Linked DNA regions of Diceros bicornis minor. The protein of the gene in region 3 interacts with the protein of the main gene of each other region in a pairwise test. Links are inferred from orthologs where the notes say so. Each region holds a gene or a part of one and is shown on either strand. Other genes may lie near its edges. The genes, in order: SHFL, MORN4, SSX2IP and TOP3B.

Region 1 (7,132 bases), on a different chromosome or scaffold from region 3:
GCCAGCTGTCACAGGTGGACACTGTTGCCTGATATTGGCCACAGTGGGAATATTTACACCATGGAAATTGGCAAACGCTACACATCTGGGGTACCAGCTGGTTGTTGAGCATTCACCAGAAGCACACCACTGGCCAGGGGGCTCAGAAGCCAGATTTGGGGTTGAGGTTTGATTTCTGGGGTAGCTGTCAAACTGTGGGCTCAGGGGTCAGGCTCTGGGGTCCGAGACGACGTTGCGCTCTGAGCCTGGAGGTCAGGGGTTGGGCTCTCAGGGGCTGGTGTTCTCAGGTCAGGGGTTCAAACACTGAGGATGGGAGTCGGGAGTGGAGTTGGGGCAGAATCAAGGTCAAGGGTTGGGTCATCACCTCCTTCCGCTGGGGCACGCGGCGCCACCACACGTGGTCACAGGAGGAGCAGGCGAACTGGCGGTCCACGGCGGGGATGAGGTCTTCCTGGGCGCGCTGGAACATGCGTAGGTTGGCTTCTGTCAGCGGCAGGAGGGAGGTCGCCACCGCCTGCAGAATTGGGGGGGGGACCAGAGGGTGGTCTTTCACCAACATACACCTGTGTCGGCCCTCCCTTCCCTACAGACACGCCCCCTCCTGCTCCTGTGACATCCCCCCCCCCATGGCCTCCCCGGTCCACCTCCCCTGTCCCACACCCTGGACTCACCTGGATGTCCTGGTCCTGCTTCATGTCCTCTGGGGGGTCCTGGGTGGAGACACCATGGGCACAAACTGGGGATGTGGCTCAGGTCTCTTGTCATCTTTGTTGGGGGCGGGGCTCCTGGACGGGGGCGGGGGGGGGGGGGCAGGGTCTTGGCGGCGTAACAGTGAGGTGTTCCTAACTCACGAGGAGCTGGTTGAGCAGCACCCCCATATTGAGAGCCAGGTGCATGACCTCAGTTATCCTACAGCAGCCCTGAGAGATGGGCACACCTGTTCTCCTCATTGCTCAGATGGGGAAACTGAGGCCCGGAGCTGGGAGAGGGATTGCCTCAGATCCCCGAGTGAGCTGGGCAGAACAGGCCCAGACCCCCTTCCTGCCGGCGAACGCCACACACTCGTTGGCATTGTGACCGGCCGCCCCTCTGAGCCCATGCCGCCTGAGGCTAAGGCTCGGGCTCCGGCTTCAGACAGCGGCGGTTCCAATCCTGGCTTCATCATTTCCAGCTGTGGGGGCCAAGCCACTCCCCCTGGGTCCCTACGGAGGGGCATCCGGGGCCCAGGCTCAAACCCTAGGTGGCTGCGGTTCAAATCCCAGCTGCCGCCTGCGTGCTGTGTGAGCCTGGCGAGTGACTTCGTCACTCTGTGCCTCAGTTTCCTCATCTGTAAAACGGACACGATAAATAACAGGACCTGTCTCATGGGGTCGCTGTGGCGATGAAATCAATCAACAGGTAAAATTCCTGGCGTCCTGCCTCAAGGGAAGCGCTCAATCGATGCTACTCTTGGCTATTATACTCTTTATGCATAAATATAAATAGTACAATACTTTATGATACTATGTAACAACTCTGTGCTGGGCCTTTCAGGCAGAAATCCACATCCACCAGCCACCAAAGCCATTAAGGGGCAAAGTGGTCATGTTGCACCTGTGCCTCAAAGCCTTTCATTCATTCATTCATTCATTCATTCATTCATTCAACACATGGGCTTCTCTGCCCGTCTCTCCTCCTCCATCTCCTGCTCATCCCAGCCTGTTCGTGTGTTTCTTTGTTCAAGCCATTCCCTCTTCCAGGAAGACCCTTCCCGACCCCTCCCCTTCTCAAGGATCACTCCTGCCAGCCTTGAAGAGCCGGCACCACCTCCTTCAGGAAGCCTTCCCTGACTTCTACGACTCTTCTATGATGACATTAATCCTGATTCGTTTCACTGCCTCGTTTCACGTGTCTCTTCCTCATTTAATACAATCAACATGTAATGAGCGCCTACTGTTTGCAGGCTCCCTGGCCAGACACACGACTGAGAGGTGAATAAGTGGATGAGGTTAGACCACAAGTTGTGGACTGGTTGCGGCACAGAGGGGGCCACCACGGAGGGGCCGGGTCCCCTCTGTTCTTCCTCCCCCCGTCAGCCCGTCCTTTGAGGGGAGGGGGCATTTTACCTGGGTATCCAGGTCATTACTCAGTTCCTGTCCGTCTCTCTGCTTTACCCCTGGTGGGGAGAGTAAGTGTAGGTGAAGGGCCCTGGCGGGATCCTGTGGGAGTTTCAGGGCCCCCAGAGCCCCAATACAGACCCTCCCCAGAGATGATCTCATTGCTTCCTCCTACCATCAGCACAGACCACACTCCCTCCCCCACGTGGAAGTCCCCCTGCCCCAGGCCGGGACCCGCGCGCTCACCGTACACGATGGAGCGCCCCACTCCGGTGTGGTCGCTGCCAAATTTCCTCATCAGAGTCCCCGCCTTCCTGGAGGACACCTTCCCGTGAAACTTCTCCCGGAGGCGCCGGACGCTCTTCTCCAGCTGGGGTGTGGACAGGGGGGCTCCGATGGGGCAAGGAGAGGAGCGGCAGCCCCTCTGCCATCTCTAGGCATCCTTTTCCCGGCCTGAACTTGACCCTTGCTTTTGGCGTCCGCCCCCGCCCCCCTCCATCCCTCTACGGCATTTCCTGGAAAAAGCCAAAGTCTCCACAGGCCATTGCGGGAGGGAGTGGACTGGGGCGCGCGTCCCAGACTAAGGGAGGAGGCCGGCCAGGTAACCCCTGACTTCTGACCCTTAACCCTGCAGCCCCCGCTTTTCCTCGAGGAGGCCGCATTTCGCTCCGGGGGATGTGGCGGTCCCTCTCCTTTCCGATGGGGGCCAGCGCCAGCCCGCAGGAAGATCTGGGCTTCGGATGGAGTGCCCAGGAACTGCGAAGCCCTCTCGGCGCCCCGGCCCCTCCCCGGCGCCTCTCGCGGGCCCCCGGCCCAGCCGTAGCCGTGTCCTACCTCCACACCTTCCTGAGACATGGTGGCAGCGGCGCAGGTCCCCGCGAGGGTCCGCGCTGCGCGCTCAGCGGCCCGCTACCTGGGCGCGCCCGCCGGTCCAGCGGCCGCGCAGGGCAGGGGGCGGGGCCTCCGCCGGCTCCGCCCTTCCCTCCCGGCCCCTCTTTCGCTTTCGATTCCTGGGGGGCGACCGGGCGCGCTGGCTCCGCCCCGGCTCCGCCTCTGCTCTTGCGCCCCAAACCCAGGCGGGCGCCGGGGTCTGCACCCTGCGGCGGAGCGCGCAGACCTCGGGCGGGGGAGGCGGCGCGGCCTCTGCAGTCGGTCACATGTCCCCACGCTGCGCGGGGTCCGCGTCTTCACGTCCCTCCTGGGGGCGGGGCCGCATCGGAAGGCCGCGGCGAGGCTCCGGGCCCCCCAGGCTCGCGCTCCCCACGTTCATCGCCTTCTCCCCTCCCTTCCCCCCAGGACGCAGGCGCTGATGAGAACCTGGGCGCCTTCCTCACTCTGGATCTCTTACCCGGCCACGTCCCCTCCCTGAACCTTAGTTTACTCCTCCGTAAAATGGGGATGATGAGAGCGGCTACATCCTGGGGGGGGGGGGGTGTGTGCGCGCGCGCCAGGATTCGAGACCCCGGGTGGAGCACTTAGGAGCGCCTGGCATGCAGTAGGCACTCAACTAGTCTCTGGGCCGCCTACTATGTGCCAGTCCGAAGGGACAGGCAGTAGGGGGAAGGGGGAGGTGCTTGTTAAAAGTACCGATTCCTGGTCCCTAGCAGTCCTGCAGAATGCGGCTTCTCCGGCTTCCTGGGGATCTGCATTGCAAACCCGAAGGTTGAGAACCCCGTGGGCCAGGACGATTCTAACCCAGCACGGGAGCTGGAGGACAGAGCTAGGGGGCACTCTGGCCCAGCCTGAGGGCGTCAGCGATGGCTTCTTGGAGGAAATCCGAGGTCTTGGCTAGGTGAAGAACGGAGTGGAGGGAAGGAAACAGCACGTGCAGACCCCTCAGAATCAAGAAAGAGTCTGGCGCTTTAGGCCGGGACTTCTCAACCTGGCCTCTGTTGACATTTTGGGCTGGATAGTTCCTTGTGGTGGGGGCTGCCCGGGCCACTGTAGGGTGTGTAGCAGCATCCTTGGCCTCCACCTTCTAGATGCCAGTGGCACCCCTCCCCCAGTCGTGACAACTGAAAATGTCCCCAGACATTGCCAAATGTCCCCTGGGGGGCAAAATCGCATTAGGATAAATAACTCCAAAAATGTTGGAGCCCCACCCCCAGATGGATATTTATTTATAAATTACATACAAATACAGTTATACCAATAGATTCTGTAGATTGTTTTATAATAATATATTTCTTACATAATGATACTCCTTAGCACACACAAAAATGAAGGTTAAAAAGTATAGATGTGCTAATGTTTTCTACTAGAACCCCAAAGCTTTGTTTGTGGGGTCTATGCACCCCTCTCTGGAGCCCCCTCTATTAGCGCATGTGAAGAGTTCATGGTTCTTTGTGGCTGAAAGGTCGAATTTCAGGCAGGCACGGGGCCTGCAGGCTGCGCAGAGGCCCTGGGGTTTTATCCTGAGGGAAGTGAGGAGGCATGAAGGGGTTCCCTCATTATAGTTGTCAAATACTGCTTACCCAGTGGAGGCAGAGGTCACAGCTATGTCCCATCCCCTGGCCATGGTGGGCATCAAACAGATGAGAGGCCGATCTAGCCCTGACATGAATCAGATCTGCTAGATTCTCATAATAATGGCCACCATATGGAGTGCTTCCTCTGTGCCAGGCACTGTTCCGGGCATTGCAGACACAGCATCGAACAAAAAGATCCCTGCCCTTGTAGAGCTGGCATTCAAGTGGGTGAGACAGACAAGAAACAAATATATAATAGGACAGGAGATAATAAGTTCTAGGATGAAAAATAAACCGGAGTAGGGGGATGGATAAAGGGAGGGGGGTCAGGGAAGGCTGTAGGAAGTAACATGTGAGAGGAGACCTGAAGGGGGTGGAGGAAGAGAATTCCAGGCAGAGCAAACAGCAAGTGCAAAGGTCCTGAGGTAGGAGCAAGGGACTGTTGTCACCAGTTGTAGTAGTTCTCCCTTGCTGCCTAACACATTATCCCAAAACTTAGTGGCTTAAAACAATAAACGCTTGTTATCTCATAGTTTTTGCGGATCAGGAATCCAGGAGTGGCTTTGCTGGGCTGTCTTGGCTCAGAGTCTCCCTGCCTCAATTCTTCCCTACTCGGCTGCTCGAGTACATCCTCCCAACTTGGCAGTGGGCCTCCGCACAGCACGTGATCCAAGACAAGGAAAGCCAGGTGGAAGTCGTATCTTTTTATGACCCAGCCAAGGAAGTCACCCAGCGTCACTTCTGCCACCACATCCAGTATGTTAAAATCTAGTCAGTAGATCCAGCCCACGTTTAGGGAGAGAGAAGTAAAGACCCCGCTCCCCCCCCCCCCCGCCCCCTGTCCTCCCATCTCCTGCTGAAGCCTCATTGGCTGCACCAGAAGCCAAGGAGGGTAGGGGCACCGGTCATGCTGTCAGCCTCTCAGGGCACAGAGCAGGGGCAGAAGGGTGACAGTCTATCCAGAAGGACAAACAGACGATACAAGCCAAGTATTGAATTTTGGCATTTGTAGATAAACAGAAAAACAAACATTCCCAGCGACCAAAGGGGGACGCTGCCTGCCCACGGATGTACTGTTGACGTTTTGTGGCCACCTTGGCCTGGCCAGATGTGGCTTGTTTGTGCAGTGGGGTGAGCGTGACTGCATTTTATCCTTTGTCTTTATAAAAAGGTGTAGAGAGGGAGAAAATAGATGTGCAGGTAACAGTGATAAGAAGTGTAGACTTGGGCCGGCCCCGTGGCTTAGCGGTTAAGTGCGTGCGCTCCGCTACTGGAGGCCCGGGTTCGGATCCCGGGCGCGCACCGACGCACCGCTTCTCCAGCCGTGCTGAGGCGGCGTCCCACATACAGCAACTAGAAGGATGTGCAGCTGTGACATACAACTATCTACTGGGGCTTTGGGGGGGCAAAAAAAAGGAGGAGGATTGGCAATAGATGTTAGCTCAGAGCCGGTCTTCCTCAGCAAAAAGAGGAGGATTAGCACGGATGTTAGCTCAGGGCTGATCTTCCTCACACACACACAAAAAGAAGTGTAGCCTTTGACACTTTAGTATAATCGAGTCAAAGATGGAGCCCATTTGCTTCATCCATTTAGAGGCATCAAGTGCCTCCTTGGTGGCAAGTGTGGTGCTGGGCACCGTTTCTGCCCTTCTGGAGCTCATGGTCTTTTTTATTTTTATTTTATTTTATTTTATTTTTTGTGAGGAAGATCAGCCCTGTGCTGATATCTGCCAATCCTCCTCTTTTTGCTGAGGAAGACTGGCCCTGGGCTAACATCCGTGCCCATCTTCCTCCACTTTATATGGGACGCCTCCACAGCATGGCCTGACAAGTGGTGCATCGGTGCGCGCCCGGGATCCGAACTGGAGAATCCCGGGCCGGAGCAGCGGAACACACGCACTTAACCGCTCGCGCCGTGGGGCCCGCCCCCAGAGCTCATGGTCTTAATGAGAAAGAGACACATGAAGCAGATAATATCGCAAGTAATTATTTAACTACAAAAAAGAGAAATGGAGAGATCGGTGAGAAAGGACAACACGTGGGAACCTGACCTGGGCAGCGTAGTCAGGCGGGGCTTCCTGGAGGAGGTACCTCTTGAGCTGAAATCCTAACACTTTCTGAAACACTGTGCCAAGTGTTTGAAGCTGTGTATCTCAATTGATCCTCACAGCCACTCTACAAAGGGGGTAATATTATTACAAATGGGAAAACAGGTTCAAGAACCCGCTCAAGGTCCCTCCAAAGGGTGAATAGGAGTTACCTAGTTGAAGAGGTGCAGGGTAGAGGGAACAGCATGTGCAAAGGCCCTGAGGTGGGGAGGGGTTTTGTCCATGGTAGGAAGCTAAAGGCCAGCATGGCTGGGGTTTAGCAAGCAGAGGGTGAATGGAGGGAGTTGAAGCTTGTGCTCAAAGCAGCAAAATCTTGACCTTCAGCTGGACCCGTTGAGGCTTAAGCTGCGTAAGCATATATTTAATTGTGGAGGAAGTAGACACAATTGGAGCGTGTGTGTGCTTTTCGCAATCTAGTCAATTTCCCCCTCAGTTAACCAAAGGGAGAAATTTGGGAATG
Region 2 (7,128 bases), on a different chromosome or scaffold from region 3:
GGGCTCGTCTCGTCCATCCCTCAGGCCGCGGGCTCCGGGACCCGGGGCACCCCGCACAGCTGAGCTCGCGGCCGGGACCAATCCGCGACGCCCCCAGCCCCCGCCTGGCCAACCAGGTCGCGGCGCCGTTTTGGCCCCGCCCCTACCGCTCATGTTTACTTGGCGACGAGTAGGCACGACCCCTTGAGCGCGAACGGCAGCCAATCGGAACTAGCGCCTACGCAATAGCGCCCTCCGCATTTTTCGCCCGTCACCTTCTGTGAAGACTGCGCATGCTCTAGGAGCCAAACCCGGGTCAGACACGCCCTCTGCTTTTACCAGCCCCGCCCCGCCCTTAGCTTCCAATTGCTGACGGGTGTTCGGGAGCCTTCAGTAAAGTAGCCTACTTAATCAGTCATTCCTTTATTGAGTGCCTACTATGACCCAGCTGTGGGACTGGAGAAATCTAATCTTTGTATCTGCATTCATTCAATCAGGCACTCATTCATTAAATATTTATTGAGCACCTACTACGTTCTAAGTGCTGGGGAGACAGAAGTGAAGCAAAGAAATAAAATCCATGCTGTTAAAAAACAAAATTCGACTGAGTAAATTTGAAAGATCGTATTGGCTTTATTCAGTGACTCATGAATGGGGCAGCATCCCATCTAGCAGACAGAAAGGAGCTCTGAGGAGCTGTACAAAATGGAAGGCTTTTAAAGGCAGAAGGGAGCCAGACAAGGAAGTTATACTAGCAAAGAGTGGGTTGGTTGTGGCCAAGTCACCTTCCTTTAGGGATGGCAGGGGTCTATCAGGCAGATTACCTCACTAGTGCTGACCAGGTAATTCCAGACTGACTGGGTTAAGATTCCAGTCAGTTAAGTATTAAGTCTCTGCTTCATGACATGGGGCTTAGCATAACTGACTCCATTTGGGGCCTGTTGTCTTGTTTTTAACACTAACTAAATAAAAAAGTTTTAAAAAACTCCAGCCCTGGTGCAACTTACACAGTGCCTGGCCCAATGCTTATTTGTTAATTGAAGAACGATATGGTCCCATTAGACTAAAAATACCAAGAGGTAAGAGTCCATGATTGTTTTATTCATCACTGTGAAACCTCAGTGTCTAGACACAGTAGGTGCTCAATACATTTTTATTAGCAGCAAAGAGAAGGAAGATATAGTTCCTGCCCTCAAGCTGAAGACACACAGCTCTGTGAGGCAGTAGGAGAAAAAGAGCCAACAATGAGAGCTGAAACCTCCACAAGAGGAGTTTAGTAATTTGGGGGTAGGCCGGAAAGTCAGCAAAGGCCTTAAGTGGGGCATGTGCTATGAGCTAAGTCTTAAAGGAAGAATATAATTAGATCACTGGGGAAAAAGGGGGAGAAAAGAGGGAATCAGAGACATTTAAGTTTGAACCCCGCTCCACACTTATTGTTTTGTATGAGTTAACTCTCTAAGCTTCAGTTTCATCATCTATAAAATGGAAATAATCATCACTTCCTCAATGGATTAAATAAGAATTTAATACATTAAATTCTACATTTACTACATACATTATGTATGTAGAGCACTTAGCATAGCCCTTAGTACATAAAAAGCGTTCAACAAATGGTAGCTTTTTATCACTGCTGAGCTTTTGATTGATACTGGTTTTGCTTTTGTGCTTAAAGTAACCAGCAGACTAAAGGCGTGAGTTTTCACAAAAGATGACCAGCCACATAGTAACCAATATTTCATAATCAGTCTTTCTTGAATCAAATGATTGCCACAGCTAACTAGAAGTACTAAATTGAAAGAACTATTGTTTAATTCTATGTATGGGAACGTCTTAAACTTTTTTTGCCAGGTAAACCATTCTAGACAAAGATCATATAGATGGTTCAATTTCCCCTTTTAGTTACAAGACGTGTATTTCCCCTTCCTATCCAGCATCAAATAATTAAGTAATATTTGCTTCTTGTGTCCCAGGGGCCATAGCCACCGACATGATCTCTTGGTATTATTCATCTCATTTACTCCCTAAGCTTCAAATCATGGTGAAGGAAAGCCCCAAGATTTAGAGTTCTCTCTTGAATTCTGAGTTTTCTGTATGGAAAACCCTCAGAACTTATTTCTGTATCTCCCTCTTGGAACTTGGTTTTCCTTTTACTGAAAAAAAGAGTGTCAATGCATTCCCTGTTACCTATGAAAAGCTAGCCCTTACCAAATGCTAAGCATGTGTCAGGCGTTGTTTTAAGTGCATTACATAGAGTAAGTCATGTAACCAGCATTACAGCCCCTATGACGTTGGAAGCTGAGTAAAGTAACTTGCCTATGGTCATGCAGCTGGTAAGTGGCAGAGCTGGATCCAAACCCAGGCAGACTAGCTCCATGCTTTTAACACTATATTGCTTCTTATTAAATATCTCTGTGAAATGTGTCTCATCTTTACCCCCTTTCTTTCCATCTTCACTGATGCCACATTAGTTTTGAGACTCTCAGAATGTCTTAGCTACATGATTACAATAGTTTCTGAGTTTGTTTCTCTGCTTCCAATATCTCTCTGATTATCTCTGGGTATCACTGCCAGATTAATTTTCTTAAAACACTAATTTCATTGTGTCACTGCTCTGATCAAGAAACTACATTTTTTATTGTGGTAAAATATACATAATATTTATCATTTTAACCATTCATAAGTGTACAATTCAGTAACATTAAATACATTCACAATCTTGTGTAACCATCACCACTATCTATACCCAAAACTTTTTCATCATCCCAACAAAAACTCTGTACCCATTAAACAGTAACTCCCTCTTCCCCTAGCTCCTAGTAACCTGTATTCTACTTTCTGTCTATTAATTTGCCTATTCAAGAAATTAGATTTTGCAAACCATATCTTCTCCCTAATTTTTCAGGTTTTTCCATAATTTGACCACAATCTATGTAACATTACTTCTTCGTATTTTTAAATACACATTCTCCAATCTTATAAGATTTGTTTTCTGGATATTCCATTCTCTCAACTACTGCAATTATATCTATAGTCAATACCACAGAGTTTAGCGTGTTTAACCTTTGAGTGTTAGAGCTAGATTGAATCTTATAGGTCTCCTAGTCCAATCTCATTTTACAAGCTAAAGTGCTTAATAACTTGCTTGAAGCCACACACAGTTGGTGGCAGACACGGGATTTGAACACCGAATCAAAGTCTTTTAAAACAATTTAAAACTACCATTTATTGATAGTTTCAGACACAGTACCAAGCATCTTACGTTGTATTCTCAGACAAGTCCTGAGGAGACTTTATCATCATCATTATTATTATCATCATCATTTCTATCCTACAGATGAGGAAATCCTAATTTAGAGAAGCAATTTGCTTACTCTCTTCACGCACTTGCCTTCTCTTACTAATGAAATATAGTCTTGGATTTTTCCATGTGCATGAATCTTTTCTTCTCCACATTTAGGCAGTAAGTCCCATGAGGGCAGTGATCATGTCTTTTCCAGCCTGGCAGAACCTAGCATCGTACTGCATTCACACTGTTCAGTAAATAAACATATGGATAAACGGATTGGTGTGCATGGTATTTGGGAGGATTTTCTCCAATCTTGGCACTGTATTGTAACTACAAAGGATCTGGGTAATGACAACTACAAGACAAATCCTTACAATGGATGCAAAAGTGTCCTCATATCACAGAGCTGGCACGGGGTGACACTCATTAAACTGCAGTTGCCCCGTCCAGTGTATTACAACGTACAAAGCTGCACCTCAAAAGCCAGGTTCCGGTTCTGTCCTTAAACTCCGCGGTGGTACCGTTTACAGCTGTGGAGACGGGGCAGGATCGGAGCCGCCCGAGGTGGTCACTGTTGCGTCTGACGCAGGTTTGGCTTGGTTTTGTTTGGGGTTGACATTTCGGCTAGCCTGTCTCTGGGTAGGCGACAGCTGAGTTCTCTCTGTCCGGGCGGCGGAGGTGGGGTTCAGCCCCACCCCTCTGTCGGACGTTTGGCCCCGTCTCTCAACACACTCCGCCCCGCACAAAGATGGCGCAGAGCCCGGGCTGGGCCAATGGGGAGTGGCGTTGCTCCCGGTTGCCTAGGTAACAGCCAATAGGCAGCGGGAATTGTGCCCAGTGCGGCTGCCCGGGATGGCGGCGTCAAGCGGAGCAGGCGCTGGTGGAGGTGGCCGAGAGGCAGGTGGCAGGGGCGAGACCGACGGAGCGGAGGTCTGGGCGGCTGGAGCCCCGCGTCGGGGCGTGACGGTCACCCTGAAAGGCCAAGCCCAGGTTGGCTGGCAGCGCGGATGGGAGTGGGCCGGGAGCGTGTGGTCGGATGAAGAAGGGACTGAGGAGCCCAGCCCGAGATGACGGGCTGGGGAGCGCGGCTCCATCCTGGACGCGCTGACCGGAGGGCGGCTGCCCCAGGGGTCGCAAACCCGGGCCTCTCGTCCCCACCGCGGGGGTTGAGGCCCGGGAGAGCCCACGGTACTTGGGTTAGCGAGCGGGGTGGGTGGGGCTGCGTCAGGAGGGGATGGCAGACCTGTGTGAGCAGAAGACCCGGTAGAGGGGAGGAGCGGTGCTGGAAGGCAAGAACCGGGTGGGAGAAGGAATGGGGAGTCGACAGGGAAGTGTTGCCTTGTTGCGTCTAGGGCTTTGTTTGCTCTGGGCCCGGCTCTCTCACACTGTGGTGGAGAGACGTCCCACACGCACATCGAGGCTTGGGGAATGGAATGCCTCAATTATTGATGGTGGCATCCCTGCAGTCTAGCATCAGCAAACTGCTTGGGTACCAGCAGGAGTAAGTCAGCTACGTTAGAACCGGCCAAGGCATTTTCCTTTGCCGTGAAATAGAATAGCATCCTGGCAGTTCCCATCACCTCCAAGTCTTTTTTTCTCTTTCTTCTTTCCTTCTCTTTCTTCCTTCTCTTCCTTCCTTCCATCTTTCCTTCCTTCCTCCCTTCCTTCCTTCCTTCCTCCCTTCTTTTTTCTTTCTTCTTTTTTTACAATCTTTCTGGTGTCAGGATTTCCTTCCCACTTTCTTCAATCTAACCATCTCACAGTCTTCCTAAATAAGACGTTTATCTAGTAGCAATACGTTTGTTTACTTTTAGAGTGGAAGGAAGTAGTAAAAGAGACTTATAGACTTATAATACAGTTGTTTCAAGCTCATTTAAAACCCCTGAAAAAGAACATTTGACTTTTTGTTCTAGATTCCTTACAAGCCTAATCTTGGTTCATCAAAGCCTTCACTTTCTTCTCTTTAGGATTGAAAATCATAAGAACTGCTTTCTTTATAACTGAACAACTTTGACAAGACTGTCATACCCTAGGGAGGGTGGCTTTAGGGGGACAATGTGAAGATGTATATGGATAAAGGTGGCTGCCTCTAAACAATATTCTGTTGAAAACCTATTCTCCTTTATGTTAGTTTTTTTCAAAAACCCTCTGAATTTGGACACAGGTTACTGTGAATGCATGAATATTTCTTAACTAGTTTGATTTCTGAAATTAAAAAAAAGACAAATGGAACAGAAACAAAAGTTCTCATTCCTGTCTCCGAGTTCTACTTGGAAATGTCTGGGGCAGGAAAAAATAAGAAGCAGGGATGTAGTCTGTTGTGCAGACTAATAGTATATTGGTTTACAGGGACAAAATCATCATTTTCTTTTAGATAAACATTTGGATTAATTCTTAGCAACCCGTCTATCAAGAGAGTTGGAAGCGTGGGTATCTGTTTAGAAGCGTGAATCATCTTGGTATTGTAACTAGATTCCATATGTATATCTGAAGCCTAAACTCCTAGGCTATCTCTTCTCTTTAAAACGATTTTTTGAATAACTGATACAAATACTGATTTGCATCCCTTATTAAAGTATTGGGTTTTTCAGTCTTCATCAGTTGTGGCGATACTTTATTGAATTAGATTTGTCTCAGTGACCGTGGTTACTGGTGAAGTTCCTTTTTGGGTCAGTGGCTATGCAGCTGACTATTAATTAGCGTGGCTAACTACAGAAGTCATATGAAAATCCTGACACTGTCCCAGGCAGTGACAGTATCAGTTATTTGGACACATGTAAAAGTTTCTAGTCAAATGTGTTAAACCATGGCCTGAGACCCATGGAGTCTATGTGTGTTCCCTTTAATTAGCAGTTCTGATTGTGTTCTTGGGAATGGACAGCATTTTGACAAGCAACTGTTGAAGGAAGTTTGCTGTGTCTCCCTGGATCAAAAAGGAATGGAAATTTATAGCATGTACTTTTTAAAACAAATGGGAGAGGATGTTCCAGTTACTATTGCTGTGTGACAAATAGCCCCAAACTTAGTTGCTTAAAACAATCATATGATGCTCACAGATTCTGTGAGTCAGGAATTTGGACAGGGCATCATGGGAATGACCTCTCTCTGCTCTATGATACCGCAGATGGGATGCGGGCTCAATGCCTGGGGGCTGCAATCATCTGAGGGCTCCTTTGCCTGGGCTAGGATGATTCAGTGATGAGGAATGCCAACTGGAGCACCAACAAACATGGCTCAGCTTCCTCGCAGCATGGTAGCCTCAGGGTAGTCTGGTTTCTCATGTGGTGGCTCAGGTCTCCAAGCACAAGCCTACCAGGGAGCAAGAGGGAAGTTGCCTCACTTTTTATAATCCAACCTCACAACATACCATTGCTTCCGTTGTGTTCTATTGGTCAAAGCAATCACAAGCCTGCCCAGATTCAAAGGAGAGGTGTGAGACTCTACCTTTTGAAGGGGCAATTGCAATGTCAGATTCTTTGGAAAATGCTATTTGCCACATTTGGTAATAAGATAATCTTTCAAGTTTCATTGACTTCTTTGAAATATTTAGAGTATATTCCCCAAGAGCTAACATCATACCAAAAGAGTAGCTAGGTTCACAATTTGAGGGCTGGCTAGTACTTTGTCCATAGATAATCCTCAGACTGGACAAACACTCTTCCCTTCCTTCAGGGACCGTCTTTTGGTCCCTCTGAAACAAGATGGGATGCCACTATTTGGAAGTTTCAAGTAGCCTTGAGAAAAAGTAAACAGATACAAGAGGCTGCTCCCCGTGAGCCTCTGTGTAGTCAGTCTGACTCCTCAAATTGCAATAACTCCTTCCAAAGCTTTGAGTGAGGATGTTAGTTAACTGCTGTCACACA
Region 3 (6,828 bases):
CTTATTTCTCTCTGTATCCCTATTCCTCTAATCCTAAAAGTAGAAAATACTCCATAAAGGTTTGTTGCATGAATAATCATTTCTGCTCTTGTAAGGTCTCTGGGGGCTTCAATAAAATATTTTTCAAGTCTTTAATTGCTGTGTAGGGTTGTTGTCTCTCTGCTATTATTTGGATGGTCTATGTTAAGAACACTTTCAGATCACCCAACTTACTGATTTGAGTGGAAATACCCTTCTCAAGTAAAAATCAAATGTAATTCTGCTGGATAAAACCTTTTAAAGGTTCCCTTTCACCTACTGGTCAAAGGTCATAGCCCTGTTCACCAACCTTATCACTAACCCAGGCCACCTGGCTCCACCAACCAAACCACCTGTACTTCCCCAATGGTATACTGCTGCAGAACATGCTAATATGTGTTCATCAGGTAAACTCCTTCTCCTCTGTCAAGACACAGCTGAAATTCTCTTTTCTAAAGCCTTCTCTTATTTGCAATTTTTATTTTCTATTTTTGCTCTCTCCCTGACTACACCGTAAGTTTCCTAAAAAAACTCAAGGCAAGATTCATCTTTTTAATCCTCAGGTCTGACAAGTAGCAGCTTAGTGTGTAATAAATGTTTATTGAAAAAATAAATTATTAAAGCATAATTCAATACTCTGCTGGTACCATACAATACTGACTCACTCTCAAAAGTAAAGATTTTAGGTTGTTTTCCATTACCAACAATGAATGGTGCGCTTCTCTATTCTATCCCATCCCATAAACTTGTGAATTCAAGATAACTTGTACCGTCATTGCCAATTAATCATGATCAGCATCAGCAAAGACAGAGTATCAAAATCCCTTGTGTCCTGAGCAAACAGTCAGACCAATAAGGCATATTCACAACTATTATAAAACACATGGAAAACTATCACTTAAAAAGCTTTGAAATTGCACCAATTTAAGCATGTGAAATGAATTAAAATCACACAATTCTGGGGCAGTGTCTTTCTCATCATTCAGTATCATTTCATCTCTAAGTGCATACTCCATAGAAGGCACTCATCTGTCTGCTTTTATCAAAACCTGTGTCATTGCCAGCTTGTCAAAGATCAGCTATGTCAAGTTTTTGGAGACTCCAAGAACATACTCTGACTTTGTGCTCGCCTTGAGACCTTTGGCAAATCATCGGAACAGTTAACATTTTCATTTTCTCATATACGGCCTCAGCGTGCTTGGAACGCAATGTGCTTTAACAAGTCTCGTCACAGGCGCAATGTGTTATGAGGAAATCTTCACATTTCATCCTAGAATAACTAAGTCTTTGCACTTATCTTCAAGCTGCTTCCCTTGTTACTTAATCCTGGGGCTTTATTATCTTCATTGTACAGATGGGGAAAGAGAAGGGAAGAAGGGTGTAAAATGACTTAGCTCAAGAGGCCCAGCAAGTCACTCAAAGAGCCTTCATTTGAACTATCAGTTCCTAATCCTCTTTTCAAAAAACCATTTTGTTTGAGAAAATTTCATTGACAGCAGGCAGAACCGTGTCAAATTAGTTATTAGCTTTTACTTGTTAAATCTGAATGAATAACCTAAGCTTCCTAGGCGTGTAGGTTATGACAGCTCTAGGATAGGAGATCTGACGGACTGTTTTGCTGACTGAATCCAAATTCATAAATCTACCTCTAACTTCTTCTAAATTTCAAGACAGCTTGAGTTAGACTTCAACTCTAGGGCATTTTTTCTCTCTCCAGATCTCTAAGTCTTTTCAAATTCTATTCAGTCACCTAAACGTGTCAAGTCATATCTACCTTTCCAGTTTAGGATCAAGGCTGCCAGAATGTTCTTCTACCTGAACAGTAAACCAATCCCTCCTGAGGCATAAAGGGTTCCAAGGCACCCATCACTCACAGCCAACTCGAGACCTAGACTCTAAGCTGAATTGTTAGGGGAGCCCAGCAATTTCTAAGTCCAGGAGGCCCTTCTCTTACACTTCTGAATCACCCTCGGAGGAGTGACTGTTCTAATCCTCATCCATTTATGGGGCCCAGAAAAGGGAAATCTCAATTCTCTCAGATTCATCAAGAACTTTATCAGCGCTGCAAGTAATGACAATTTGGCAATCATAACTATGGACCTTGAAATGGAGTAATAAGCTAAAGATTCCCATATTACACATGCTGAGATTATTTAGCAGATTCCATACACATGCTGAAATTATTTAGCAGATTCCATTTCCTGGACCCAAGTGACTTGTATAACTGGGCGATCAGCATAGGCTCAAAAGCCGGCAGAGAGCTCACACTTCGGTTTACCGTACTTGATTATAACATTCTGCACCAAAATATCCTCACACACGCCTGCCTCTTGGATGGGGTAAGTTCTTGCCCTAGACTCGTTACTAGACCACTATCAGGGTCCTCTTCCCCTGCAGCGGCCACGGGCCACCCGGGAACTCATTCTAACGACTGCCTCCTGCGGCTCGCGCTAACAAACCCCGAAGCCCGCATGCCCGCAGCCTCTGCTAAAGAGGCACCGCAGCCCCAAATCCGCCATCCCCTCCTCCCCCTCCACGTCCCCGCGTTGCTCGTCATCCCACGCCAGGCGCCACCCTCTCTCCATCCCCGGAAGGGTTTGGGGCTCCCCGGGCGAGAGCCCTGCCGTGGGCGCAGCGCTGCGACGGCGGGCAGGAGCGGTCCCCGAGCTGACACCTACCTCCCCCCTCCTCCTCCGGGCGGGACCGGGGTCAACGCTCGCCCGCCTCCTCCAACCGCCCCAACGGCCACGCCGAGCTTCCGGCAGCGAAGCGGGGCGCCGAGCCAGGTGCCGGCGCGCACCTCCGCGCCCGCTCTCCCGCCCCCCGGCCGCCTGCCCTCGGCACCCCCGGCGCCGTCGCCCCTCCCCGGGCGGGCGCGTCACAATCCCCGCCGCGGGCCGAGGCTCTCACCGTCACGGCCCCCGCGAGCGGCGGGGAGGCACCGCTCAGCTCCTAGCCCCGCTAGCGCAGCCCCGAGGGCCCGCACAGGAGCGCCGGCACACAGCGCCCCGGGCCGCCGGCCCCGCCTCCGCCTCCGGCGCCCGCCTTCGCCGCCCCGCGCCGGGCTCCGCTCCGCCCCTCGCCGCCGCCTCCCCGCAGCGGCAGGTTCGCTAGGTTCCCACCCCGCCCCCGCCCGCCGGCGCCGCCGGCCCGGCCGCCTCCCATTGGCTCGGCCAGTTGCTAGGCGATGAACAACCGCGGCCTGCATTGGTCCGGTGGGGGCCCGGAGCCTCCTCCTCGCCTCCAAAAAAGCCCAGAGAAAAAGAAAACCTTATCCCCAGAGCCCGAGCGGGATGCGGGCGCAGCTGCGGCTGCGGCACCTGTTACGCCCTGTGATTCACCCGGCCGGGGCCTGCTCCCCGCCCCCTCCTCAGCCTGCCCAGCTCGGGGCCCAGGGCTCCGTGGGGGAAGGGGGTCGTGGCTGCTTTAAAGCACGTGTTCCGAGCCGCGGTGAACCCCAGTGCCCACCCATAGGAGCAAAAGGGAAGCGCCTAGAAGAGCCAAGTGCACTTGGAAAAGTGGAGAAATAAACCAAATAGCAGCCGGCACCCAGAATTAGGTCAGGCCCAGGGGAAGGGAGGTTCAGGTGTCGGGAATCGTGGAGGCAAACAACCCAACCGGGAGAAAGTTACCTGTTAAATTAGGGGAAAGAAACGGACCTGGGCAGCAGACAGCGGGAAGACTAAGAAATGGCACTCGTGAACCAGAGGTTTATGCAAAAATGCCCTACACCCACCCAGCAAAATATGTGCAAAGAAACGGTAAGCCTGCACCCGTGGCCAGGGTCAGGCCGGCTCCTCCCCTGCTCCATGTCAGCCTGAAATTCTCCAGGGAAGAAAAGAGGCCGGAGGAAGGAAAGAGATCAGATGGAGAAATGGCAGGCATATGAGTTGAGTTATAAACACAAAGATGTACTTTGATGGATTTTTTTTTTAAGTGAAGCCAAGAGAGTTACTCAAGAGGGGAAAAACAGGTTTAGTATCTTAAGGAGGCTCCTGAGAGCACTATGAAACTAAAATAGTATGAGATGAGAATGAGAAATATTAACTCTGAAGAGCGAGAGAGGAAGGAGTGCTCCCTTCCCGATTTACACGCACGTATCCCCAGTCCTGGATGAAAGAGCAAGGAGAGAAAATGAGCCCGCCATGGTGACAACTTCGGAGTCCAACGAAATCCTCCTCATTGCCTTTGGCCTAAGCGATTAGGAGGCCGGCCAGACGCCGTCAAGCATAGGTGAATGACAGCCAAACAAGCCGTTAGGGCCCATCATTATAAGGACGCTATTAGTGCAGGGCTGGTAGGGAGGAAGAAACCAATTATTGCAATGATTACTTTTCTCCCTAACCCAGACTGCTGATGGGGGGAGGGGGTTACCCCAGCTCCCGAGAGGGCCTTTGAAATTTCATAGCAAATATCCCACACCCCTTTCCATCTTAAGAAGCAACTTAACATGAGTTTTTCTTTGAAAGAACACTTAAGGCTTCTTTTTTTTTTGACCATTTCACCTCCTCACAGTCAAAAAGGGAGAGCTCGCTCTCCGATTAGCTAGAAGAGTTGAGATCAGTCAATTCAGTAAGCAGCGTCTGGCACACCCTGTTGCGATCTAACGCTAACAGTCTGATTTGAAGAAGGTTTGGGTCGGGCTGAAGTGAGCTCCGGAGAGTTCGGCCCCGCCCCCAGCTCCAAGGGTGAATCACATCTGTCTGAATAAACCAGCAGTTTTCAATCTTTTGCTCTGGGGACCCTCTTTCCACTCCCCAAAATTATTGAGGGCCCCAAAGAGCTTTTGTTTATGTGGGTTATTTCTGTTGACATTTACCATACTAGAAATTAAAACTGAGAAATTTAAAAATATTTGTTATTTAAAAAAATAATAAAGAATAAAAATTGTCAACATAAATAGCACATTTTTATGGAAAATATGTTCCAAAAAAAGGTAGAAAGAGTGGTATTACTTTAAAAATTTGCAATTGTCTTTAATGTGTGGCTTAATGAAAGGCAATTTGGTTTTCATATCTGCTGCATTCAATGTGTTGCACTATTTCAGGTAGCCTTTGGAAAACATAAGAGAATGGGAGTAAAAAAGGCAAATAACATTTTAATATTATAATAAAATAGTTTTGACTTTGCAGACTCCCTGAAAGGGTCTTGGGGATCCCCCTCCCAGGCTTCCTCAGATTACACTTTGAGAACCACTGGTCTGCACCTGTCTTGGTACTGTGTCCCCCTTGTCAATGACTGGTTTAGGAGCTGAGCTTGTAACCTAATACTGGTGAGTACATATTGGGAAGTAGAGGGTAGGGGATTTCAGGGGGAGGGTTTTGTCCCTGAGAGCCCATAAGAAGTCTTTTCCTTACTTCTCGCCTTGGCCATCCTCCAGGGAGCAAGACATGTTTGGAGCTGTGGTGGCACATCCTGCATCAATGAGAGGAAAGCGGGAAAAGCAATACGGGAAAGGCAATCCGGAACCCAGACGTCACTGAATGGCTAAATTACCCTACCCTGGCTTTGCATACCTCCAGACTGCTCAGGTGGGAGAGCGCAAATGACTGATTGCTTAAGCCATTGTGGGTCAGGTGTTCAGTTACTGGCAGCTAAGGAGATCCTGACTGATATACAGGACAGGTAAAGAATTTGGCTGCAGCCTAAAAATAGTCTAAGGACACTTTTAGCCCAGGGCTAGAGGAATTGGGCTTGATAGAACTATGGTAAGGAAAGATAAAGGGTAAAGATGTAATCTGGAATTTTTCTTTTAAATGCTTTGCTTTGCCTGCTTTTGCTTCTTTAAGCAAAATTAAGGGGATGTGACTATCAAGTGGTGTTGTCTTCCAGAATGCATCAAAATTTCCACCCTTGTTCCTCTATAGTCTAGTTTTATCACAGTGGTCAAAGTAATTCTTTTAAAATACAATTCAGATCATGCCACTTCTCTGCTTTGGCTCCCCTCACTCAATGTTAAAGCCAAAATTCTTTCCATGGCTGCAAAGTTCTTATGACTTGCCCTCTATCTCCTTACCTCATGTACTACAACTCTCTCCCTTACTCAACTACTAGCCACCTCATTGTTCTTCAACCTTGCTAGGCACATTCCTGCCTCAGGGCATTTGCACTAGCTATTCCCTCTGTTTGAATGTTCTTCCCCTTAACATCTATATTACTTATCTCTCCTCTTTCAAGTCTACCCAGTCATCTTCTTTGTGAGGCCCAACCTGACAACATTACATGTGTTTAAAATTGGAACCCCCTCCAGCTTTCCAAATCTCTCTTACCTTGCTTTTATATAATCTTTAACCATAATATAGAGTTTACTCATTTTGTTTGTTTGTTTGGTCCTTCTCCCTTTGCTAGAATGTAAGCCAGCAGGAACAGAGATTTTGTCTGCTTGTTCACTGATGTGTCCCCAGTGCCTAACACAGTGCCTGGGATTTAGTGGTTAGTGCTCAATAATTAGTTAGTGAATAAATGAACATAACTTCACATGAATGTCATTTCAAAGTAGTCACTTTGGCAGGCTGTATGCATATTCAAATGATGCTGCTCAAAAGGTATCACACCAGTAGGCACTGAATTTGTTGAAAAGAATTCTTTCTTTGATAATAAATCTGATTTTTGGAACAGTACAAAAGTTATTCAGAGCCAAATCTGATGAACACATTCTGGAGCCATGTTAAAATGCCAAAGCTGTGTTTTCCAACTAAGTTACTGCATTTGGGTGGATAGGGAAAGGTCAAAAAACAAGATGTGTGTGATTTTCTAAGACAGTAAACTGACTCTGAACATAATTTCAAAAAGGAGTTCTAAAAATGTGCA
Region 4 (7,249 bases), on a different chromosome or scaffold from region 3:
GCAAGCCATGCTCTGGCCAATTAAATTGGACAGCAGCGTCTAAAGAAAAAACACATTTTCAAGCCTCTGTTCCCTTTGCTTGGAATGTTTTGCCAAGCCTGGAGAATGCAGATCAACTGTCCGAAGGCCCAGCTCAAGTGCTAACTCTTCTTCAAAGAGCTCTCTCTACACCCGCCGGCGGGATGAATCCTTTCCTCCTGGCCGTTCCTTACAACCCTCTGCCCATCATGCCACGGTTGGTCACTGCCTCTTCTTCCTGCTGCACACGAGTGGCCTGATGTCTGAATCACTGTTGGCAATTCAACAGCTGGTTTCGAGCTTGACAGAGGACATTTAATACCCGCTGGCTGAGTGAAAGAAACATATGAACCCTTTCTGTCTTTCTGATTGTTGTAAGTATGGCACCGACATTGACAAACATAGCACTGTATAAGAAAAAGACTTGTATTGAGACAACCGGGCAACCTTATGGTAAGAAAAACAAAGTCAGACACCTATTTTATAACTTCCACCAAAACAGATTCCAATTTCTAGCAAAGATTTAAATAAAAAAATGAAACTAGAAAATATGAACTTTAGTATGAAAAAGACAAACACCTAAGTCCCTCAACATTCAGAGGCACACTTCACGTTTAAAAGCATTTGGCTTCCTTTTCTGTGAACTGTCTATTCATATTTTTACCCATTTTTGTCAACTTGATGGTTGTTATCTTATTTTTGGAGTGGTTTATATAATAAGGAAATTAGCCCTCTGTAATAGGAAATAATTCCAACAATACTCATCAAAGCAAGCTAGAGCTCGAGCGGTCTTGAGTTTCTCTCCCCAGCAAAGACCCATGTCTAGCACACGTGCGAATGACGGTGTAGGGACAGGGAACTCAAACGTGGGTGCCGCAAGTTCACCCAGAGCAAGCTCTACAGGCGCCACCGGGCAATACCTCACATCCCCGCACTCCCACTTCCAAGAAGGAGCTCAACAGATTCTTGTCTCAAGATCCCTTTCCAGAGAAACATTTTGCCCTAGCATCTTCAAAGGGATTACCTCATTTATCTAGGACTAGGGATACAACTGGACAGTGCACACAAAAGCACGTCAGCATCATGCCCAGCTTCAGATCACCTGTCCACTGCCAGGCTGTGCAGCGGCTAGTCCACATTTGATATGTGGCAAAACACACCTTCTAGTTCAACAGTTTATACTTCAGTTCTGCATGAGTACTTTGTAATTTCTAAGTATCACTGTTTTATTAGGAAAATAAATACCACTTCCTTTAAGGATACAGAATCAGGGAGTCCTGGGAAAGGGATCTTGGTGATGATCCGGTACAACCATCTCAAGGAAGAACAAACTAAGACTCAGAGAAAGGGATTTTCCAAAGGTAACCTAGGAAGTTTGCTGAGTTGGGGCTGAAACTCATGCTTCCTTACGTCCAGCCAGGCACACTGTTTTTAACTGCACCAGGTTCTACTTCTTAAAAGATTTCTGCAGTCGTAACTGTGATTAATCTTGAGGCCTCCCTATTTTTCCATTAAGGCACATCTGCAATTTCAAAATGGAAGCCAATGAGCAGGAAAGCTGAAAGCAATGGTGTGAGAACATTTATACACCATCTTACTGCTTTGCCTTACCAACATTATTATTTACTTCCGTTTTTGCTTTTTAAAAAAGCTTAAATATATAGAAAAGGGAAATTTTATAGCCTCATAGGAACTGAAAGCCTGTAATCAATGGCCAGAACTCGGTTCCTTCCGGTAACCCACATGACACATCAAGTTTGATCTTGCTGCCTGCCAAAGTGCTGAGCCTGACATCTGTCCTCTTACTTCAAAAAGGGAGATTAGCAAGTGCTAAGGGGATGTTGACAGCAAACACCCTAAATTGGGACTGTAATTAGGAGGGCTGAAAGTGAAAGGGAGCAGCAGGTAAGCCTGTTATTACCCTGTCAACTCTCACCAGCAAAACCACAACGGTAGGAGTCCTTCTGGGAGCCACTGCAGATCAAGTCCTTTCAAGTCAGCCCTCATGAACATGTGGACTCAGCTCCGGAGTGCAGGCCTGGCAGTGGGCCGACAGAAGTTACAGCCCTAGGATTTCCCACCTCAGAACTTGACCAGACACCTATGGAGTCAGGAAAAGAGGGGAAGAAACCACACCTTCTTAATTAAGGTCGTCTGTAGCGCTATAGCTCTAAACGCTACTCTACTGAATCCTGCCAACAAGCCCACAGGGCTGGCGGTGTCCTCATTTCTTCAACTAGGAGTAAACTGAGGTTTAGAACAATTCAGACTAGTGTCAGGTGACCTCTGCCAAGTCTCTAGGGACCCCCCCGGGGCTCACGGGCCATCAAGCCCTGGTTGGGCTGAATTTTCACCTCCTGTTCCCAACGGCTGAGCGACAAATAGGCAGGACGAGGCCATCATCTTTCTTTTCACCTCTGAGAAATGACTGCCCCTGGATTCTCGCTCGTCTGTTCACAAAAGTACCCTCTCACCCACATCAACAACTCAGAGAAACACGCCCGGGCGCCCTCGAGGCCGAGCCAGGGCTCCGGGGCGGCGTGGACCCTGCCTTGACCTGCGTGGACCGACCGCCTCCCTGAGCCTCAGTTTCCCCACCCGTGACAACAAATCCGGGCAACAGACCCCTCTCAATAACTGCGGGAGGTTCGATGAAGAAAAGTATTAACTGCAGCGCCTGCTCCCTCCAGGTGCCGGCCCATCGCCACCTCCTTGAACCCCCAAACCAGTCCCGGGGTTCGGGGGGGTCCACCCCGCCGGGGAAGAGGCGAGAATGCAAAGAGCCCGGCCCAGGACCCTCGCCCAAGCCGCGGGGCTGGCGGCCCCCGGTGCGTGGAAAACGCCCGCGCTCCCCACATCCCTGAGCCCGCCGCCCGCCGCTCACCCGCAGCCCCACCCCGGCTCCGGCTTCAGCTCCGCTCGCGGCGGCCGCCGGCAACTCTACTTCCGGGTCGGGCCGCTGCTGGCGTCCCCGCGTTTCCCCGCCGGTGCCCGCACACCTGCGTCCGCGGGTTCCGTGGCTGTCGCGTTCCGGGAGCACGCCCCGAGTTGGCCCTTGCCCACCGCATCTGCCGAGATCCCTAATCCCTCCACCCCATTCTTCCCCGCCCCGGAGGCAATAATGACAATCATCATTACAATGATGATGAAAACTAGATGATAAGCATGGAAACGTGTATGCTGTTAATAATTAAAATAATTAAAAACTACAGATGTGTGTATATTACTACTCAGCCGTAAAAAAGATGAAATCGTGCCATTTGCGACAACACGGTTGGACCTTGAGGGCATTATGCTAAGTGAAATAAGTCAGATGGAGAAAGCCAAATATGCATGATTTCCCTCCTATGTGGAAGATAAAACAACAACAACCACCACCACAACAGACAAACGCATAAACAGAGAGCAGACTGGTGGTTACAGGTGTGTGTGTGTGTGTGTGTGTGTGTGTGTGTCAAGGGGCACACACGTATGGTGACGCATGGAAACTAGACTTTTGGTGATGAACACGATGTAGTCCATACAGAAGTCGCAATATAATGTACCCCTGAAATTTATATAATGTTATAAACCAATGTTACCACAATAAAAAACCGAAAAACAAACCACAGATGTTTGTAGAGCAGGCTTCTTTCAATGCTACAAACATTTGTGGATGAATAAATAAACTGTAAAATATATCTGGAAGATGAATTGGAAAATAAAAGTAATCTTTTTTGTGTTAGAGCATTAAGATTATGGAAAGTTAAAAATAATTTTCATGACCTGATTTTAATATCTTTTAAATAACAGCGTACAAACGTTTCCTTTGCTCCCTGTAGATGCTGTTCCCAACTTGTCTTTATTGGAATACTAGCCCTGACAGATGTCTGGAAAAAGAAAAGTTCTATGGTCAAATTAAGGTTGGGAAATGCAGAAAATTAAGTTACAGTGAGATTTCCCTTTCAAAGCAGAACTCCTGATTCCCAGCCCACTCCTTGGCAGGTTCTCCATTGCTAAGACGGCAACTTCACCTTCCTGGCTGCTCAGGCCCAATGCCTTGAAGGCTTCCAGGATTCCTCTCTTTCTCTCACTTGGTATCCATCACTGTCTTCAAATCATATTTGAGATCCAATCAATCCTTCTGGCCTCAGCTGCCACCACACTGACCCAAGTCCCATCTCCCTCCTGGTCCCACCCTGAGCCCTACAGGCTGCTCTCCACACAGGCCCCGGCGGACAGCAGCCAGGACTAAGGTTGGATCTGAAGAGTATGTCCAGTTGGCAGAGAGGCAAGACCAGAGCCCCACTGCTTGTTTAATCCAGCTCTGGGGTTCATTCCACAGAGTAGGAAGGAGGACCTGAGGCCTGGGCCTGGCAGGGGAGCTGAATGGTCAGCTCTGGAAGCCTGCTTGTCTGAGTATTCTCCGCGGAGCTGGGAAACTGCAGCTGCTTGTGCTCCCCTGCTGCCTGGAGAGCCCCTTGGGGAGTCCTCCCCACAGACCTCCCAGGGAGCTGTGGGGCAGGCCATTCCGGGGACACTTATGTTGACAAATGACCCAGATTCAGAGGAACGCTTTGACTTCCTCACCGTTGGGAGGAACCCCTACACTCTCCTCACTTATGCACAGGCGCCTAGTTGTGGTGGATGGGACACCTGAGAGCTCCTGGGTCTCTTCTCTCTGGTGGGGCATAGGCTGGGCCATGGTCTTGCTAACACTGTAAATAGTTAACACCCACCCAGCGCTTACTCTGTTCTAGGCACTTTTCTATTATGAATACATTTAATTCTCATGACACTAGGAATTAGGTATTATTGTTATTATCCTTATTTTACACATAAGGAAACAGGTCACACAGATGTAAATGGCAGCGCCAGGTTTCACGACTAGGCAGCCAGGTTCCAGAAGTCAAGTTCTCACCCACTTGCCACAGGGCTTCTCACTCCTTCTCGTTCTCTATCTTTCCAGACTCCAGGGCCCAGTCTGTGCTGACTCAGCTGGCCTCTGTGCTGGGGTTCCCCGGGAGACATGGTCACAGTACGCTACACAGGAAGCAGCAGCAACATCAGGGGATATGCCCCAAACTGGTACCAGCATGTGCCAGGTCCCCAAAGTCTTCATCTACAAGAACAACAATCGGCCCTTAGGGATCTCAACTTGGTTCTTTGGCTGCAAGTTGGGCAACACAGCCTTCCCAACCATCGCCGGACTCCAGGTGGAAGACAAGGCTAGTTATTACTGTCACTCCTATGACACCACAGGTGAGCCTGCATGGTTCTGAGCTCCAGACCCCAGGGGGAGTGAGACTCAAACCTCCCGACTCCTGTAGCACACTGATGACATTGTCTGCTGGGTAAATTTTATTCTTCCCCCCCCCCCAAAGCCCCACTAGATAGTTGTATATCATAGCTGCACATCCTTCTAGTTGCTGTATGTGGGACGCGGCCTCAGCACGGCCGGAGAAGCGGTACATCGGTGCGCGCCCGGGATCCGAACCTGGGCCACCAGCAGCGGAGCACACGCACTTAACCACTAAGCCACGGGGCCGGCCGGTAAATTTTATTCTTTTTTCTCACTATGATGTTTTGTAAATCAATTCAGGCATTTTTGTGTTTCTTGTACTTACTTCTAATTTACGTCAGCTCCTTGTGCATCTCTGCCTTTGTGGCTGACTATGGTATGCTCCTTATACTTGGAAGTGAGTTTGGCTGGACCTAAAATCCTTGGCTCACATTTTCTTTCCTTGAGTATCTTAAATATGTCACTCCAATTTCTTCTGGTATAAAGTGTTGCTCTCAAAAAGTCTGGTAGTCTTATTTTCTTTCTCTTGTGAGTGATTTGTTTTTTTTTTTTTTGCCTGGATGCCCAAAGTATATTTCTTTTTCTTTTAAGTTTAGTAATTTTACTAGAACGCATCTTGGTGTCGGTCATTGTGATCAGTTTTCTCAGGTTCACAGTTTCCCTCTGAATATATGGTTTCAAACAATTTTTTTCTAATGTCAGGAAAGTTTTCTTGAATCTGTGTCTGTACTTGACTTGAGACTATTCTCTTGTTTTTCCTTTTCAGAAGCTCCTATTATATATGTGTCGGATTTTTTTTTTTTGGCCTATCTTCTAAACTTGTAACTGTTTCTCAAATTTGTTTTGTCTGTTTATTTATTTTATATGCTTGAAAGAGAGGAACAAGGTTGGGAGACTTACATGGCCTGATCTCACTCCTTCCTGTAAGACAGTCATCAGCCAGCATGGTGCTGGCGGAAGGAGACAGACAGAGACCAATGACGCGTGTGACAGAGCTCCCAGTCTGGGACAAGCATGTGTGTGTCAATTGATTTTTGACAGAGGCAGTGAGGCAATTCAACAGGAGAAAGGAAAATCCTTTTGATAAGTGGTGCTTGAAAGAAACAAACCTCAGCTCTTGCCTCACTCTCTGGCTTCCGCTGCTGTCCACTGGCCTGGCCTAGACTCCCCACAAGTAGGGAAAGTTAGTTCCTTAGGCTGCAGGCTCCTTAATGGAACTCAGAGTTTATTTCTCTACAACCAAGACATTGTCGTTCTTCTAGTTTCTCAGCCTTTGTTTTTCTTAAATCAGGAATCATACATGACAGCAACTTGCAAACTAAGGCTCCCCCAGATGATCAGAAAACTGAACCAAAAGTGCAAGTCTTTTCTTGACATCTCATGCACAATCCCATGGACTAAAAAAAGTTGGTGTAAAACTTATAGACAGTAAAGTGCTGTTGTCATGAACGTATGCTTGATGATCCATTCACCGGTAAACACCCATGCTACCACCACCCTGATCAAGACAAGGAATATTTCCCGCACTCCAGAAGGTCTTCTTGTTGCCCTGCCAGTCAGTACTCCCTTCTAAGCTCTTCTGTTAAGAGTTGAATTTGCCGGGTGCCCTGTGTGTGTGTGTGTGTGTGTGTGTGTGTGTGTGTGTGTGTGTGTATAGCATGCGTTCATGCTGGAGTCAGTGGGCAGCGCCTGTAATGTCTTCTCAGAAGCAGCAGGGGGCGGTCTGGGCATGTCCCTGAGAGATGCAGAGGGTGTTGCAACTGGGACATGAGCTCCTGGCTCCCTGATGCTCAGTGCTCTCAGGGGCCCGCAGCTGTCTTCCAGCCCCTGCCCAGGCCACCTTCACGGGACCATCTCCCAGGCAGAATGAGGGGAAGGTGGGCACAGCGCAGAGGAGGGAAGCTGGAGGAGGGGGTGCGGAATGGGAGGGACTGGGGGCTGGCTCATCTC

The links.
Region 1: the proteins of SSX2IP (region 3) and SHFL interact in binary tests that used the Homo sapiens proteins (3 or more experiments, as listed by UniProt). The two-hybrid records come from large-scale screens. The link is inferred for Diceros bicornis minor from reciprocal best matches to the Homo sapiens genes SSX2IP and SHFL.
Region 2: the proteins of SSX2IP (region 3) and MORN4 interact in binary tests that used the Homo sapiens proteins (3 or more experiments, as listed by UniProt). The two-hybrid records come from large-scale screens. The link is inferred for Diceros bicornis minor from reciprocal best matches to the Homo sapiens genes SSX2IP and MORN4.
Region 4: the proteins of SSX2IP (region 3) and TOP3B interact in binary tests that used the Homo sapiens proteins (3 or more experiments, as listed by UniProt). The two-hybrid records come from large-scale screens. The link is inferred for Diceros bicornis minor from reciprocal best matches to the Homo sapiens genes SSX2IP and TOP3B.

What each region holds. Positions count from the first base shown.
Region 1 is NC_080769.1:9,028,770-9,035,901, forward strand, and holds the start of SHFL (shiftless antiviral inhibitor of ribosomal frameshifting protein), read right to left. Parts: upstream 3,024-7,132; 5' UTR 2,952-3,023; coding exon 2,931-2,951; intron 2,467-2,930; coding exon 2,343-2,466; intron 2,156-2,342; coding exon 2,106-2,155; intron 711-2,105; coding exon 672-710; intron 515-671; coding exon 365-514; intron 1-364.
Region 2 is NC_080745.1:63,377,934-63,385,061, reverse strand, and holds the start of MORN4 (MORN repeat-containing protein 4), read left to right. Parts: upstream 1-4,117; 5' UTR 4,118-4,255; intron 4,256-7,128. Other genes in the region: PI4K2A (phosphatidylinositol 4-kinase type 2-alpha), read right to left, coding at 1-17. UniProt on the Homo sapiens protein: Plays a role in promoting axonal degeneration following neuronal injury by toxic insult or trauma.
Region 3 is NC_080743.1:21,177,558-21,184,385, forward strand, and holds the start of SSX2IP (afadin- and alpha-actinin-binding protein), read right to left. Parts: upstream 3,012-6,828; 5' UTR 2,929-3,011; intron 2,875-2,928; exon of another isoform or gene 2,697-2,874; intron 1-2,696. UniProt on the Homo sapiens protein: Belongs to an adhesion system, which plays a role in the organization of homotypic, interneuronal and heterotypic cell-cell adherens junctions (AJs).
Region 4 is NC_080774.1:30,422,601-30,429,849, forward strand, and holds the start of TOP3B (DNA topoisomerase 3-beta-1), read right to left. Parts: upstream 3,024-7,249; 5' UTR 2,903-3,023; intron 2,120-2,902; exon of another isoform or gene 1,940-2,119; intron 1-1,939. UniProt on the Homo sapiens protein: Releases the supercoiling and torsional tension of DNA introduced during the DNA replication and transcription by transiently cleaving and rejoining one strand of the DNA duplex.